3 linked regions of the Drosophila melanogaster genome follow. The gene in region 1 interacts genetically with each later gene. Each region holds a gene or a part of one and is shown on either strand. Other genes may lie near its edges.

Region 1 (5,267 bases):
GGTCAAGGTGGTTTCGGTGGCGGACAAGGCGGCTTTGGCGAACACCACAGACACCATGGAGGACATCATGGGCGCTTCTAATACCCCAATTTCTTAATCGTCTTAAAATCGTAAACAAAAAATAAATAGTTTTTTCCAACATATACCTGCTGTTTTCGTGAACCAAATATTAAGGAGACCACGGATCCTGGAGATAACTCGCAAACGAAGGAAAGAACAAACACGCATCTTGAGGAGACGCAAAACCAAGGAAATACTACACTCTGGGATTCTGCACACAGAAAAGATTGACTCGGCTATTGATCCTGACTAATAATATATATATTAACAATATATACACTTTATTAAGTCGGAATCGTTTAATTCTACATACAAATTTCATAGGATGTGTCACTTCATGTGAGAATATTAACAAGATTATCTTGGCAATAAGCGCTTCGTCACTTCGTGGATCGCTAGATGACGTTTATTTGGGAACTCGTCATCTTCATCACAACCTTTTCATCTGTAAAACGTGACTCTACTAATTATTATATATTTTTATTATTATAATACAATAATAATACAAAAACATATTTACAGAAAATAACTTTGAAACCTATGATTTGTTTCATAACTTAAAATTTATAATTATAATTCAGCAACAAAAATCTTAGATACTGAGATATTACGGGGTATTATGAATAGGTTGGTTTTGATAAAAACGGTAAAGGTATAAAACAAGACATACACCCACAAAAAATAAATTATATTATTCATGCAAGGATGTACCAAGGAGTTTTTCGGACAATTCGGGGATGATTGCAAAACAAAGGTAAATTATTGAACGCCGTGTTGAACAAATCATGCTCAGGTATACCCAGGCTCATTTACCCTGCAAATTATGGCACTGAATGTGGCATGTTTACCTTTCAAATTGAGCGCACAATACAAACCAAATGCGTTTGACACTGAAGTCAGAATATGCCTTTCTCGCAAATCCAGGGACCTTCTTCGTCTCGAAGGATATCAGATTGAGAAAATTAGCTGTTGGAGTGGGGAAAATAATGAGGGATCATAGACACACATTGAGGAAGGCACAGTTACTATTTCATTATATTTTGAAGACTCAGTTTTAATCTAAATAGCAATCTATAGGTTTGTTCAATTGTTTGTTCGGTGTTTTCTTTTATTTCGTTTGTTGTTGTATATGGGCTTTAATTTGAATATTTATTTACAATTTATTTAAGACTCGTTACACCCTTGCTCAAGTCAAATATAGTAACAGTTGCAATAAACAAGCTTTCAACTTATTGCTTACGTGTCTCATCAATATAATTTACAAGAAAAACTTACTTAAGGCTAATCTCCGTTGATGTTTTGCTTTATGTCTCTGTGCTTCACGCATAATTTACTTTACGGATATTTACCGGCTGCTTATTTTGATGCTTCTTTTATTTTGTAGGTATGTGTATTTTTACTAGTGAGAATATTGGTTGGTTAATTGAGAGTATATATAATTACTATATATATCTGACTTCTATATACCATTTTTAACATTTGTAATTTATGTACGTTCGTTTTTACGAATTGAGTTTTTACTATGCGCTTGCGGTTGGTTTTCTTTGTATAAATAAAATAGAATATTTTCGCTTTTGCTTCGCTTCGAATAATACATGCCATATACATACATATAAGAAAATGCTCGATTACGATTCTCATAACTTATGGTTCGACGTTAACCAAATGAGGCCCTCGGACAGGCCATCGCCGGATGTGGCACATGATGGTTGTACATACCAATTGCGATCTCTTATTCTAGTTAAACCTAGTTTTTCCTGGATTTCATGGGGTTTCATTGCTGCAAGAGAGAACAATAAGCGGATGGAAACAATTGGCTGAGCACTATACTAACCATCAGGCAGATCCTGCTTGTTAGCAAATATCAGTATGATGGCGTCGCGCATCTCCCTATCGTTAATTATCCTATGCAGCTCCGTGCGCGCCTCGTCTATCCGATCCCGATCCGCACAATCCACGACGAAGATCAGACCCTGTGTACCCGTGTAATAGTGTCGCCATAGCGGTCGAATCTTATCCTGCCCACCGACGTCCCACACATTGAACTTGACATTCTTATAGGTGACGGTTTCCACATTAAAGCCCACAGTGGGTATCGTTGTAACAGATTGGCCAAGTTTCAGTTTGTACAGAATCGCTGTGGGTGGACAAAAACAATATTACTTTAGACACGCAAAGGATGTATAAACAAAATAGCTCGAATTCGATTAGTGATAGTACTGGTGTACGTATTGAAAGGTCTTTATATTGTACATTTTTTCAAAGTACAATAAGAATAAAAACAAAACAATAATTGCCTCGCCTCAAGAGTATTTTTTAAATGGGATTGGTTTCCACTTAGGAAACTGATGAAACTAATGGGTACTAATCAGGCCCACAATCGAATTCGAGAACCCTTTATTGTTTATGTGCTTACTTGTTTTTCCAGCCGCGTCCAGTCCGAGCATGAGAATTCGCATTTCCTTGTTGCCGAAAATTTTTGATAGTAACTTTCCCATGGTGCTGATGTGTCATCCATTAAACCTTAGCCAATCTGAAAAACAGTTCGAGTAGAGTTGGCGAGGTCTTCCAAATAAGCATATCGATAAGAATAGCTGGGCGAGATTCAGGGCAGGGTCAGTGAATTTCCAGATAATAGGGCCATTGTAATACAGTTTGCAGTTAACATATCAATTTATGATATAAGAACGCCGTCGCGCGAAGGCGCGTAAGTGATATATGAACATACAAATGTAGCTACATATGTACACATACGGCGGGCACAGGCAATTTGGTGGCCATATAGAGCTTGTACGACGGCGGAAGCTAAGACCATTATTTTGCATAATAATTTCACTTACATTGTCATCAGCTCGTTGCTAAAAAGCGAGAAAAAAGTGGAGAGGCAGAATTTATCAGTGAAGAGCTTGCAGCACACAGTCGCACACACAAACACACGCACACATGCTTACACATAGGAAGTACAATTGGACAGATAAACACACTATAGTGTCTCGCAAATTGAGGCAGAGTTATCTCAATTGCGGGCTTATCGCTGGCTCCACTGAATGGGCGGGTGGATCCGACCGCTCCACCCCCGCCCCCTGAACAGCCACCGCACCCCTCGACGACCCAGTAAAGCCGGCTTGGGAGCAACGATATCGGATGGTTTTCGGATTCTACGGAATTTCGCTCGCTCTCTCGCTGCTGCTTGCCTACGTCACAAACACGCCCGTAACACACATACACATGTATACACACCCAAGTCTCCGACGACCGCCGTTACGCACCGCTTTCCAGCCCAATTCGTTCCACGCCAGCCTGAAATCCGTTAACATGTAGTGCCAAAGTGCGCGGGCCGGGGCATAAAATGCATTTGCTAGCACACGGCGGCCAAAAAACTATAACTAACAACAACAATTTTGCACTAATCTTCTTGTATTTATATACACATACACGAAGCAATGTGCCCGTTAGCGCAGAGCGGAACAAGATCTTCGGGAATTCCAGAAAATACGCTAAAAAATGCAAAGAATGCGGAGGATAAATACCAAAAATACTGAATTTATCAGATGAAAAACGGTGACTGGCGGGGATATCGTGATTTTTTGGCCAATAAGTTATTACTTTTGCAATTCAAAATTGAAAAAGATTTATTTTCTTATATTCATTTATTATTCATATTAATTTAGCAAACAATGTAGCTGATATATTCTCCTCGTACGTTCAACAATTTGTTAATTTTTTTTAATTTTAAAAATTTTTGTTTTGTGTATTTAGTGATTTGGTATTTTAATGTAGCCCTGGTGAACTTACAAAGCCCTAGGGCGGCCACACTGAAACCGATGATTGAAATCAAGTCGATTGATTTCAGTTTCCTTCTTTTGTATTGTTTTATATTTGAGCAATACTTACGATACTGACATCGCTCAGAGGTACAATGGAACTTAGTTAGTCGTCGACCAGAACAGACTCGGAAAACATGGCTGGCATTTGCCCCCGGGAGGCGGTTCGGGTGAAAGTGAAGGCAAGTGAAAGGTGGCCAGAAGGCGAGACAACAAAAGGGCTGCTTAGTTTGTGTTCCTCAATCTAATTTTTTTGAAATCGCCCACAGAAATGCGAACCCACTGCTCGGCCGGAGTGGCGAAAGTTTTCAGTGGACCCGCAGATCACCACGCTGGAGGTGTTGTACTCCCTGCTGGCCAAGGCCTTCGATGTCAAGTCGGACTTCTCCATTAAGTACAAGGCCTTTGATCCGGCGGGCAACGAGATCTACCTGGCCGTGCGCTCCGACTGGGATCTGGATGCCGCCTTTCTGAGGATTCACAACATTTCCATTCAGACGGCCTCAGAACCCTGCCTCACCCTGCAGATCGATGTGAAGCCATTTACGGTGGTCAGGGAGTGTGAGACCGAGGCCTCCCCGGGTAGATCCATAACGGGAGCGCCTGCTCCCGCAACTCCTGCACCTTTTGTACCCGCCCGCGAGCTTATGTCACCACTGCAGTCCTTAGGAGTCTCCCAGAAATATGTCCAGCACATGCAGACCAAACTGGGCAGCTCCATTCTGAATCAGATGGAGAAAACCTTCTCCATAGTGCAGAAAGCGTTTAACTTATCCGAGGAGCATATGGCCAATCTACCGCCACGGCCGCCCATGTGCGACAGCGAGTTCCGGCTCTTTCTGGACGCACTTGGTCAGATTCAACGCAAGGACGAGTTGCATAGGGTCATCTTCCTAGGAGGCATTGACCCCAGTCTGCGGCGCGTTGTGTGGAAACATCTGCTTAACGTTTATCCCGGTGGCGCTAACGGACTGGCACTTGATGGACACCAGCGTATGGAATTCATGCGACGAAAGTCTGAGCAGTACTGTCGTCTGAGAGACACATGGAAAGCGGCCGTGAAGCGAGGCAGTGTGGCTGGAGAACTGGCTTACGTAACGAGCATGGTAAAGAAGGATGTTCTCCGCACGGACCGCCTGCATCCATTTTATGCAGGCAGCGACGACAATCAGAACATCGCTGCGCTTTTCAATATCCTCACCACATATGCACTAAACCATCCATCGGTCTCATATTGTCAAGGCATGTCGGACATTGCTTCCCCGCTACTGGTTACCATGAACGACGAGGCACAGGCCTACATCTGCTTTTGTGCGATAATGTCACGTATGCGTGGAAACTTCATGCTGGATGGGATTGCAATGACTCAGAAATTTGCTCACC
Region 2 (4,732 bases), on another chromosome or scaffold:
TGAATTGAATAACTTGTAATCTTCGATTACTCACTATTATTTTTTGAGAAACACCCCAAAAACGACCTTAGTTCTCGCAGTGTAATCACTGAGAAAAGTCAATGGGCTTGAACTCTTTAAGTGATGCCACTACCCTCATTTTCTTTCTTTCTGTCTCTTTCCCTCCCGCTTCCGACTGCAATCAGCGATATTCATTATCTCAGCCAAAGTCGCTGCACTCTGCACTCAGTTTTCCTCCAAACCATCGGCTTTGCCTTCAAAACACAATTCTTTGGCTTGACTTTTTTTAAATCTGGGAATTTAAAGGATGAATTTTTCGAATCTAATTGCAAACAGCTTTTAATAATATGACCCTGTTATCGTGAATTTCTTTACCATTTCTTCTAATATTTACATATATTAGCTATTTTGATAAAATATTATTGGAACCCATTGCTGTATTCAATATATGTGTAACTAGACCCAATATCTCTGTATATTTCACGCCCAAAAAGATCCAGAGCACTTATCACTAATCAGTTTAGAGCTCTAAAATGAATTGTTTGTTTGCCCTAAAACATTTGATGCTTAAATGCAAATAATGTTTAAAGTAAAAAAAACCCCAATGCATTTCATCTGACTAGAATTCCACAGTGCTGCTTCTGCTTTTGAGCTTTGTTTTTCGTTGATATACGGAGATGAGTCACTAACCGATCCACCAAACCATGTCGGTCCTCTCGTAACCCCCGTCCTTATCCCTCGGACTCAAAATGATGGCCATGACTGGGTGAAGAGAGCGGAGAGGGGCGAGAAACCCCAGAGAAAACCCCGGAGAAACAGAAACAGGTTGGCGGCCAGTCGAGAATTGTGTAACGATCGTCGACTTCCTCACCTACGCCTCACAGGTGCCGCCAGGTAGATGGAATGTGGAACATGGTGTGTGGAATATGGAATGTGCTCAGTTCACACTGGCAAAAAATAGTAGCCACTGATTTTGGGAATTTAAAATATTACAAGAATTCTACAATTCCTTCTTACTGAAAAACCAAAACGGAAATATGCAAAATTTCATTTTACATATATTAATATATGTATATTCTATCTTTTTTTTTCAAGTGCACAGTTATCCCGAACGGAAGGCGAGAGTGAGCCTAATGGAGTTAAGGTGCCAAGAAACGAGGGTCCGTGCATTAATCTTTCGATCGGCGTAAGTGGGGAAATCATGTTTATCTCGATGGTAGATCTTGAAATCTTCTTCGGGGGCTTCGTATTATTCGTAATTCTTTGATCTAGGATCGCCGCCATTAATCATAATCGGCTTGGGGCGGAAAGGGGAAACCGGTTAGGGGTTTTAGGTGCTTAAAACATGTTTCGCATTCTCCAACACCACCAATTGTTGTTACAGCGTCATTTAAATAAAACTGATTCAAATCCAGTCGAGAGTAGCCTACCACCATATTTCAAAATACAACAGATTTGGATCGTTAGGTACCACAAATGTTGGTTGGTTGGTAGGTAAAAGCGTTTTCACGGTGTTGTTAATCATACTTTGGTCTAGAATCAGGGTCAATGGTCAATGGTTGTCTTGTTTGCTTGGACAATAACCTGTATTATTAATTTTCAATTCTTTATAATCATGTTTGGGTTGTCCTTTAAAAGATAATTTTACAGAACATTCTATAAGATATTCATTTCTCTGATAAAAAACACACAAATTATACAGAAACCGAATTTATTTAAATAGAAAATCTTGATTAATTACTTGCGTGATATATTAACAATCCGAGAAATAATTTAACAAAGAGCCATACACTTAATTGTTCCAAACTATTTGAATTTTAATAGCAAACAAAAGGCTTGTGGAATTCTTCATAACTGATTGACTGTGTTTTCACTAATATAATTGTTGTGGTCTCATTAGGAGCATTTCTCTGAACTAATTAGCTTTCTACAAAATAAACAATTCTTAAATTGAATCCCTAGGGTCTGAAGGTTCTGAAGCATAGTTATTAATAAATAAGTGAATAAACTATTTAGAAGCCTGACATCACTGGGCTTGTTGTTCATTTTGGAAATTTTGAAAGTATATATTTCAAATCCTTCATGACTTAAGAAATGCTTGCGATTCACTTTAAAGTGTTAAAATTTCATTAATAAAATGTTTTTATGTACTGATACGAATCACCAAAATGCAGCAATAGCATAGAAAAAATATATTGATACCGAATTCATATACTTTTTTAAAAATTTTCATTCAGAAAATCCGTTTCGTTATAAATAGCTATAAAAATAGCTGTAGCACAACCAATTGAATATTATATTTTTTAATATGATTATGATATATATTTTGTTGAACCCAATTAACTAAGTTTAACTTCAAACACTGGCAAAATACACAGTTTATAGTTTGATTCCTCAAATACAAAAAAAACAAAACCGCAAAACTTTGGTTTTTCGGGCGCCTTGGTGATAAACTTGCATACTTTTGGGCATTCGATCGAGACCTTCTTGACCCCGTCAATAAAACCTGTCCAAATTGTGCAGCCCCCAAGGAGACAGCAATGCAATCAGTGTGGATTGTGGGTAATCCGCTGATTTGCCTATGCCGATGATTCATCGCCGTTCATTTTCAGATGGCGCGACAAATGAATAAATGACGATGAATGCCATTGTAAAAGCAATATACTGTAATTCACAAGAAACACATGAGCACACACACCCATATTATGGGCGAAAGGAAGGAACAAATAAAACGGGATTGGTCCCGTTATCTCGCAGCGCTTATCTCACTTTCTCTCCAATTTCCCCAAATGCACTGTTTTATTATTAAAACTATTGTAGATCGATCGAGGCACTTGGTGGGCTTCAATACCGAAACCCGAGCACCAAAACAAAAAGCACCGATTTTGGCCAGCACTGATAAGCCGAGCTTTAAATGGGAGCATTACGAAATTGGGCTTGAGGTGGGGCTCTCCATCAAATCGGGAGCTGCAGGCGCGACGCGTTCGCGAATTTAACAGAATATCAACTGAAATTGAACTCAAGATGCCGCCGAGAATTTTCTTGGGTGGCGGTCCGCCTCGTAAGCGATTGACGTCGCAGTCGCCGCGCAGTCGCAGTCGCAGTCGCAGTCGACGCCACGAGTCGGTGGCGGTGGCTATGGCTATGGCGATGCCGACCTCCGGTCACCCAGGGAACTCGAGCACTCCACACTAGTCAGCAAAAGTGGGCACTAACCCCCAAAGCCCGCAACAAAATTTTGTTGCTTCCGATGAAAAAGCAAGTTGGGAATTATAAGCGGGTAATTTCAAATATTTCAGATATTCAAATGAAATATAATACATATATTACAGGATATATCAGTATTTTTAAAAACTATAAATGCTAACTATATATGCCAGCCTTACAAAATTATATCATCAATAAGTTTCTTTAGAATAAAACTTTTTAAATTAATATAAGATTCAATAGAAATTCTTGCCTTGTCTAATACATTTCTTACAGTTATTTACTTTTATAGGCAAAGTCTATGGATCATTATTATGACCATGACTATGGACCATTATGAGCTGTGATTCATCATCGGTGAAACTATGACTCATGTCAACCGAGCTTGAAACTATCCTTCGTACCCATGTCATGCTGACCAGTGTGGGCCAGAGATCAGTGATGGGGAGGCAAAAGCCCAGAACAGAACAGAACAGCGCAGAGCAGAACAAACCTAAAACTGAACTGAAACCGAACCACATGTGTGTAATGGAACATGGGCAACATGTGTGGCTCTGTCTGGCTGTGCGCCACCACATTCACGAATGTGCGTGTGTGTGTAAGGGTTGGGGGTGGCATGGGCTAATGAGGGGGTGAGAGGGTAAGGGTGGGGCGTGGCAGCGACAAAAGACGCTTTTTATACTCAACGCCCGTTGCCTAATTAAGCATATCGAGTGCGGTCCCTGAAGGAGGGTGGTAAAGGGGGGGGGGGTGCTGTCGAGGGTTGGGAGTTTGTTTTTCAGTTCGGCTGAGTTGGGAGTAGGGGGTGCAAAAAAAGGGGGGGGCTGGGGTCGGTTCTGGGACCGCAGAGGGGGCGGTGCTGGGCGGGTGGATCGAGCTGTGTAAGTAACCATGATGAATGCTAAACACTGTTCAATTTATGCACAACAGTTGCGTAAACCGATTACGATATGCATATACATATGTACATACATACTTTTGCTCAACACTTTATTGCAAGCAATTCCGATATGAAAATGAGAACTGCACTTTCAGCACGAACCGTAAGCTCTCTTATTTCTTATTGAATTTTGAAACCAATCCTCATAATCCTGTTCCTCATAATACTGCTCGCAATCATGTTTTGAAGATCCATATAGTACACGACCGATATTTACAAAAATCGGAATCCATATAAAACAGAACCGGGAGCAAATAGAGAAAGAAAAGATGAGGATGCATCTTTGGGGAAAAAACAACAATTCCGGGGAAGAGACTTAAAAAATAGGCGAATGAGAGTGAGACTGAGAATGAAAATAAAAATAAAAATGAAAATGAAAATAAAAATGAAAATGAGCAGAGGCCGGCGAAGAATCGCATTGCAGCCGATGTTCAGCAATATGGTCGCTTGATCTTTGAACTAAATTAATTAAGCACAATGAACACAATTGTTGTTGTTGGCTTCGCTGCCGACGGCATCAAATGTATCCACCAGATACGAATACAAATACAAATACAGATGCGGATACAAAACAACAAATACGCA
Region 3 (6,426 bases), on another chromosome or scaffold:
TCCCATCCGCACCCACTTCCTTCTGCCCGCACTTTCTTACTTTCTTACTTTCGTATAGTTCTCGGTTTGGCATTTCTATGGACTCTCGACTATCTTATCAGCTGGGCTTGTGTGTTTGAGTGTTTGTGCAAAAACAACGGCAAACAGATTTCTTTATAAGCAAAAAATAACGTTATTGGCGAGATTTCCGACTTTTGGCAAGATTGTTGAGATATCCGAAATATTTGATATTATTGGATTTTGAATGTATATATAATCCTTATATGAATATACCATTCCTTTATTTACTGCTTAAAACATCAATCTCTCTGCCTTGTATTATTTGCAACTATTTTATGTTCTGAGGTAAAACAATAATTCGAGTATGAACCAATTTTATCCTTATCAACTATAGAAAATAGAAAGCAAACCAAAACAAAACCAAACCAAACCCAAAAAGAAATAAATAAATCAACCGAAGCGAGGCAATACAAAGTGCTCACAAAGTACGTTGAGACTATAATGAGCTGAATTCACGATTCTTATCAGCTGCAATCAGTTTATTTTTAATCATAATAATGCCTTAAGCACGATAGTTCTTTAAAATATTTACTTGGACTTGGAAAATAGAATTTGTAAAAGTTGAATCTCTAACATATTTACATAGCAGTGTGCCAGAGTGCAAAGCAATTTTGCATTGGCTTTTGATTGAATAACATTGATTTTCTGTTCTATTGCTCTGAAATCTTTATCTTCGCCTTGTTGACGAATCGCACTCGATTCGAATTTATTTCGATCGAAAGAGCTCTCGACGCTGGCGATGATGTGGATGTGAATGTGGATGTGGATGCTGATGCTGATGGCTCCCTTGCCAATGTTTTGGCCACTCCGCCCAATATCACGCCTTCAATCCCCAAACATTCTTTTCGCTCACATGCGGTTGCTTTTCCATACCCAAAAAAAGTTCAACCGGTATTTGTGCATAGTTCTTTGACTAAAGTACACGTACTAATACATTATACACACATTAAAAGATCAAAGCGAGCTAGAATATTTTCATTGTTTATGCTTATATAATGAAGGATAGGATATCCTATTATTTGGCATGAAAATGTGTATATTTTAATTTGTTTTCCCATTTGCAGAGCAGTTTAAAAGCTATTAACTGAGAATTGTTTTTCACTATTCTCTCATCATAGTGCATCGATTTCTGAGCAAAATTATATTAGTTTATTTGTTTATAGTGAACGAATTGTAATATTATAGCTGATAGACTCGAGTTTAGAGTTCGCAAAAAATGCGGATTATACGGCGTATGTGCAAGCCGGAAAACTTGGCTTCTGGATTGTTCTAGTGTTTTGGCTTTTCTTTGCTATCTCATCTCTCCCAAAAGAGAGGGAGAGAGTGCTCTTGGGTTCTCGCGAGAGAACTTCGGCTGGCCTCGTGGCACTGACCGCCGACCAATCAGAGAGCAGCTTGGCCACTTCGTGAGCACCTTCGTTTCGCTGTCGTTGCATAATGGCCAAGAGGCGACAAGTGTTGGCCCAAACCGAGTCCGAGCAGCAGCGAAACGCTGGCCCACAGGGAAAACAAGGGAAAAGCACGAAAAATTCGGGCGCGGAATGTAAGAGCGCTTACAGCAGAGCACAGCAGCGCACAGCGACCGCGACTGAGCGCCATTGCGGTGGTAGTGGTAGCGGAGCTGCGTCGTTCGGCACTCTTCGGCTCTCTCTCTTCGGCTGGCGCTCAGCTGTTCGAATTGGCGGCAGAGCGCCAGTGCTGCGCTACCTTTCGAACCGCTTACAACGCGTCGCCGCAACGCGGACGCTCTAAAAAGTAAAAAAAAAGTGTAAAACAGTAATACGCAGTGCAACGCCACAGCAGCCGGATAAAAACAACAACAAAAACTGCGCATGTAAAGCTGTGTTTATATTACTTGTTTTTTTTTTTACGGTGTCTCGCTGTTTTTGCTTTCGTCGCAGACAACAAAAGTGGCAAAGTTTTCGCCACGGCATTGCTCATACGCCCCGTCTCTTGCAAATTCGCTCACACTCACACGCGCGCCAATACCAGCGCACATTCACATATATACAAGTGTACGCGCGCGTTTTTCAGTGTGTTTCGTTTCGTTTTTTTTTTCTGTTTCTGTTGGTGACATGCAAAAAGCAACAAAAAAATAATAATAAATACATATAACGAAAACGATTAGTTCGGCGTTTTCTCGTAAAAGTGGGCACCAAAATGCATCAGCCCAGGTGGAAATCAAAACAAAAACAAACCGAAAAATAAATAAATCATTTATTATTTAAACATCGCAAAGTAAGCTTCTCCTCGCACACAAACACACACAAACTCGCGCGCTCATAGACTGGCTCACATACACACTAGCATACACATCTCACTCACACGCAGATGGAGCAACAAGTTTGCGTGCCACAAAATTTCCATTCGGCAATTTTTTGCGATTCTGTTTGTTTTTATTTTCATTTTTTTTTTTTAGCCTGATAGTTGTTGAGAACAAGCCAGCTTTATCTTGTTGTTATTTTACTCGAAAATAATGTAGATGTACATACAGCTTGTCAAGTTTTTAATGCAATTGCTTGGGTCTAGATCGTTTATATATTTTTATTGTACATCTATCACGTTGGTAAACAATAAAAATTACGCTTGTAAACCTAAACAAATTTGATTTGGAACGAAAATACTTGACAAACTGTATTAAAATTTTAATTAAAATTTAAACTACGTTTCGGTTATTCCATGAACTTCATTTCAAATCGAATTGAAATGTGTTTTTCCACTGCGGTTTTTCAACTGCAATTAGGGCTTTGAAAATTGATAATCAGAAACCACAGACCAAATTCATATGGATTAAATATGCAATGGAACAATATTAACAAGTGACCTAAAATAGATTCCGAAAAAGCCCATATTGTTTCCACCAGTTTTCCTTCTTAGATCACAGTTCCTATAAATAACTCTCTTAGCAAAGGAGTGCATGAATCAGTAGATATGAGTGAGTCGTAAATATTTTATAATATCACGAGGAGATAGTTGGCTAATCTTGAATGAGATCACTAAGAGATCCTTTATATTATTTTTTCACATAGGATGCCATATGTCATTTGCTTGATTCAGGATGTTCAGTACTTTTGATTCATTTAATTTCAAGTTTGACAATGATATGTATCATCTATTTACTTGATTAGCGATCAAATCTGTTTTCCATCTTGCGCAGCGGTTCCGTTTGATACTCTATACATATCCGATATCCTTTCATGAATGCCAATGTGTGTGCGTGATTAAATCCGCACCATGTGGACGCTCGGAACATTTGGTATATGTGCATACATACATATATATCTGCTTAGATCCTTGATCCCACATTGTTCGCGGTCCTTGTCTTCGTATTCTTCGGTTGACGCTAAGTACAACGCCAAAGTATCGTCCTTCTGTCGAGGACGCTGTTGTTGTTGCTGTTGTTGCTGTTGTTGCTGCAGCACACACCTTTGCACTTTAATTTCTGGCGTCTTGTTTAGCATCTGCGCCGGGTGTTATTTAAAAATAAAAGAGGAAGAAGAACGAGCCAGGATGAATGGTAGGGATGGGATGGTATGGAATGGTATGGGGAGGGACTCGAGAGAGCGGGTATATGTGAAGTCGACTGGCGACGGCGGCGGCGGCAGCAGCAGCGGTTTTAATGTCAATAAGACGCGGCGGCTATTGCCAGTCACTCACACCATCGATCGCCCCCTCTCGCTCGCACACTTATACACGGCCACACGGCGTGTGTGTGCACGCGGTCAGGACGTGCACACACACACTTGCGAAGCAACAGTGCCGTCCCATATCCTTCGGCTTGTTTATCCTTATTTTCTCTCAATTTCATGCTTCCTGCTCCCCTGCCGACTTGCCTCCACCTAAACCCTCTCTCTCTCTCTCCCTCTCTCACACTGAAAGAAAAGGAGCAGCCTTTTGAATCTGTAGTTCTTAATCCTTTTCATCTGCAACAGATGTCACTGCCTAACATTTTTATCTGCGCGTTTTATCTGGATCCTGTAAAAAGGAAGCTATGGTTATGCTTGCTGAAAGGTATTTTCGCCAGTGTACATACTTAGCCACCAATCGTCTCTGGCTCATTATTGTTATTACGTATACGGTAGTAAGGGTAGAAAAAGGAGTAAATATACAACTAAGGCGTTTTCGTATGCGATTTCCGAATCATCCGTTATTATTAATGGGTAAATAAAAATTCGTCTCTTAGTAGATGAGTATCTTAACGTATTGCATTGGGGAAATAACTAAAATAGTAGCGTATCTATTAAAGCACATAAAAACATTAATGAGCACTAAAGTAACCGTTAGTTATTTGACAATTTGCCTGCCTGAATGACCAAATCTGCCGTTGGTATTGTATTGTTTTTCCGAGTCCGAAAAGCTTGCAATCATGGCTTTTGCGCACTTAGGATGTGCGCACCCCTTCCGAAGACTTCCACACACACGCGGACGCACATCAGCTGGTTAATAACAATACACACACACACACACACACACACACCGATGTGTGGAACTTGTTCTGCCTGCCACGCAATTTCAAACGGCCTTGAACGGCATTTGATAGTTGCTTTCGTCGTCGGTTTTGGCACTGCCCTAGACCTGCATGCCATGCCAAGCCATGCCATCTATGGGAACCCAATCCATACCACATATCAGTACATGTACATATATGTACACACATACATACATACATATATATATATCGTATGCAGCCACTCGTGCAGCTGTTGTCAAAATAAGGGTTCGTACTGGACTATTTCAATTAGTCGCTCAGAAAAGGGGTATATTGTCTTTGGGAAAACGCGTGCAACAGGTAAAGGGGTGTGTTTGTGGCATTATAATAGACGAGTTTCTGATCAGTAGCAACAGCTTTGTAATATATATGAAATATATGTATGTATTATGTATGCTTCAATGCTTCACAATTGTTGGTGCATATGCAGTACAGGATATAATTGAGGTATGTGTACATACATATGTACATACGTACATAGAAAGGATGTTAAAGCTGATAGGTTCCTTTCATCCGTTCGATTGGACTTTTCTGCATATTAGACGATATGATCTATACACTTATGTATATTACTTAATAATTAAAAGGAGAGGACGGCACTACGTTTAACTTGAACACAGGTGCACAACATACAGACGTTCATATATCCATATGTATATATGTGTACGTACCATGGATTTTGTCCAAAATTTGCATTTTGCAGCTGCACAACAACAGTTGAAAGCGATTCAAGTCAAGTCCGAGTCAAGTCGAGTCGAATGAAATTGATTCGATTGGCAACTCATAAATAAACATGAGCTGGGGAGATCGTTAAACGAACATGCTTGCTGCACCGCCCCTCTCCGTCCCACAAAAGATTCGCATTCTCCTAAAACCCATACAATCTATACAAACCATAAAGAATCGACCTAACTGTGGCAATATTGTAAATGCAATTAACTGTAGTTCTCTGCCGCCGCGCTGCGCAATTGAATGTCGGCCATTGGATAATCGAGGGGTTTGGGGAACTGGGACCACCATATAGGGGCAGTTAGCACGCGTCAACTCTATATAGCTATAAAACACGGCAAAGATACAAATACGGCAGTATTATCTATTCGAATCTTACTATTGGGATTCAGCGGGATACCAGAAGAAAGCATTGCTTTTGCAATCAAAAATCACCAAAAGTATAAAAATACTATCATAACTAGCCATGCGGATCTTACAAATCCAACGCTTGAACCATTGACCATTATTTTCTTACGTCGGATAAATTTGTTTTCAAAAAAAAAAAAAAAAAAGACTTCGTACCATCTTGTTTTAATATGTGACAGGAAGTTTGGTTTTAAATGTGCGGATTAGATTAGATACACGGTCATATCCCTTATCTATTTCACTTGAATTATTGTAATAAGTTATCTGTTGATATACTCGGAATTTCACTTAAGATGTGAACTTTACGTTGTGTTCTTTTACAATCGATCGAACGATCATAGATGAAATGTGATGATTAGCGGGCCCATAAAAGCGTTCTTTCTGAAGAAACTGCTCAAACTCGATCCATTTGCTTTGCCTAGAATGTTTTAAACAAATAACTGACTATGCGGCTAGGAGATCAAAACGAGTTTTTAGGTTAGTAAGCATTCAGAAATACTATCGCAGCAATCGCTCCATGGGCTTTGACTTTATGGGCTTTGAGCGAGTGAATAAATAAGTTCCGTTTGTTTTATATATATATAAATATTTTTTTTTTTTGCATTGCGGATCACTTTGATTAATTTATTCTATGGAAATTTCTTTCGATCATTTTTGCGATTAGTCTTCGCATTCTTCTCCCTCGTCTTCTGGTCTTCTGGTAGCGCCTACTCGTCTTCTACAACGCCCACACTAACTAT

Evidence for each region. Genes that interact genetically often act in the same process or in processes that back each other up.
Region 2: of Arf6 (region 1) and RhoGAP18B, changing one suppresses a phenotype caused by changing the other (phenotypic suppression), as found in Drosophila melanogaster (2 studies listed by BioGRID).
Region 3: of Arf6 (region 1) and amn, changing one enhances a phenotype caused by changing the other (phenotypic enhancement), as found in Drosophila melanogaster (one study listed by BioGRID).

Annotation. Positions count from the first base shown.
Region 1 is NT_033778.4:15,320,775-15,326,041, reverse strand, and holds Arf6 (ADP ribosylation factor 6), read right to left. Parts: upstream 3,542-5,267; 5' UTR 3,330-3,541; exon of another isoform or gene 3,301-3,329; intron 3,240-3,300; exon of another isoform or gene 3,012-3,239; intron 2,919-3,011; 5' UTR 2,901-2,918; intron 2,594-2,900; 5' UTR 2,559-2,593; coding exon 2,477-2,558; intron 2,198-2,476; coding exon 1,895-2,197; intron 1,841-1,894; coding exon 1,698-1,840; 3' UTR 552-1,697; downstream 1-551. Other genes in the region: CG8157 (uncharacterized protein), read left to right, coding at 1-81; CG8155 (uncharacterized protein), read left to right, coding at 4,022-4,066, 4,154-5,267. UniProt on the Drosophila melanogaster protein: GTP-binding protein involved in protein trafficking; may modulate vesicle budding and uncoating within the Golgi apparatus. Promotes cell movement and remodeling of the actin cytoskeleton during compound eye morphogenesis.
Region 2 is NC_004354.4:19,155,193-19,159,924, forward strand, and holds the start of RhoGAP18B (Rho GTPase activating protein at 18B), read right to left. Parts: upstream 3,010-4,732; 5' UTR 2,928-3,009; intron 1-2,927.
Region 3 is NC_004354.4:19,885,599-19,892,024, forward strand, and holds amn (amnesiac), read right to left. Parts: upstream 4,463-6,426; 5' UTR 1,895-4,462; coding exon 1,352-1,894; 3' UTR 510-1,351; downstream 1-509. UniProt on the Drosophila melanogaster protein: Required for associative learning and memory in adults. Expression pattern suggests a modulatory role in memory formation. Controls neurotransmitter-mediated signaling pathways associated with the structure of the larval peripheral nerve.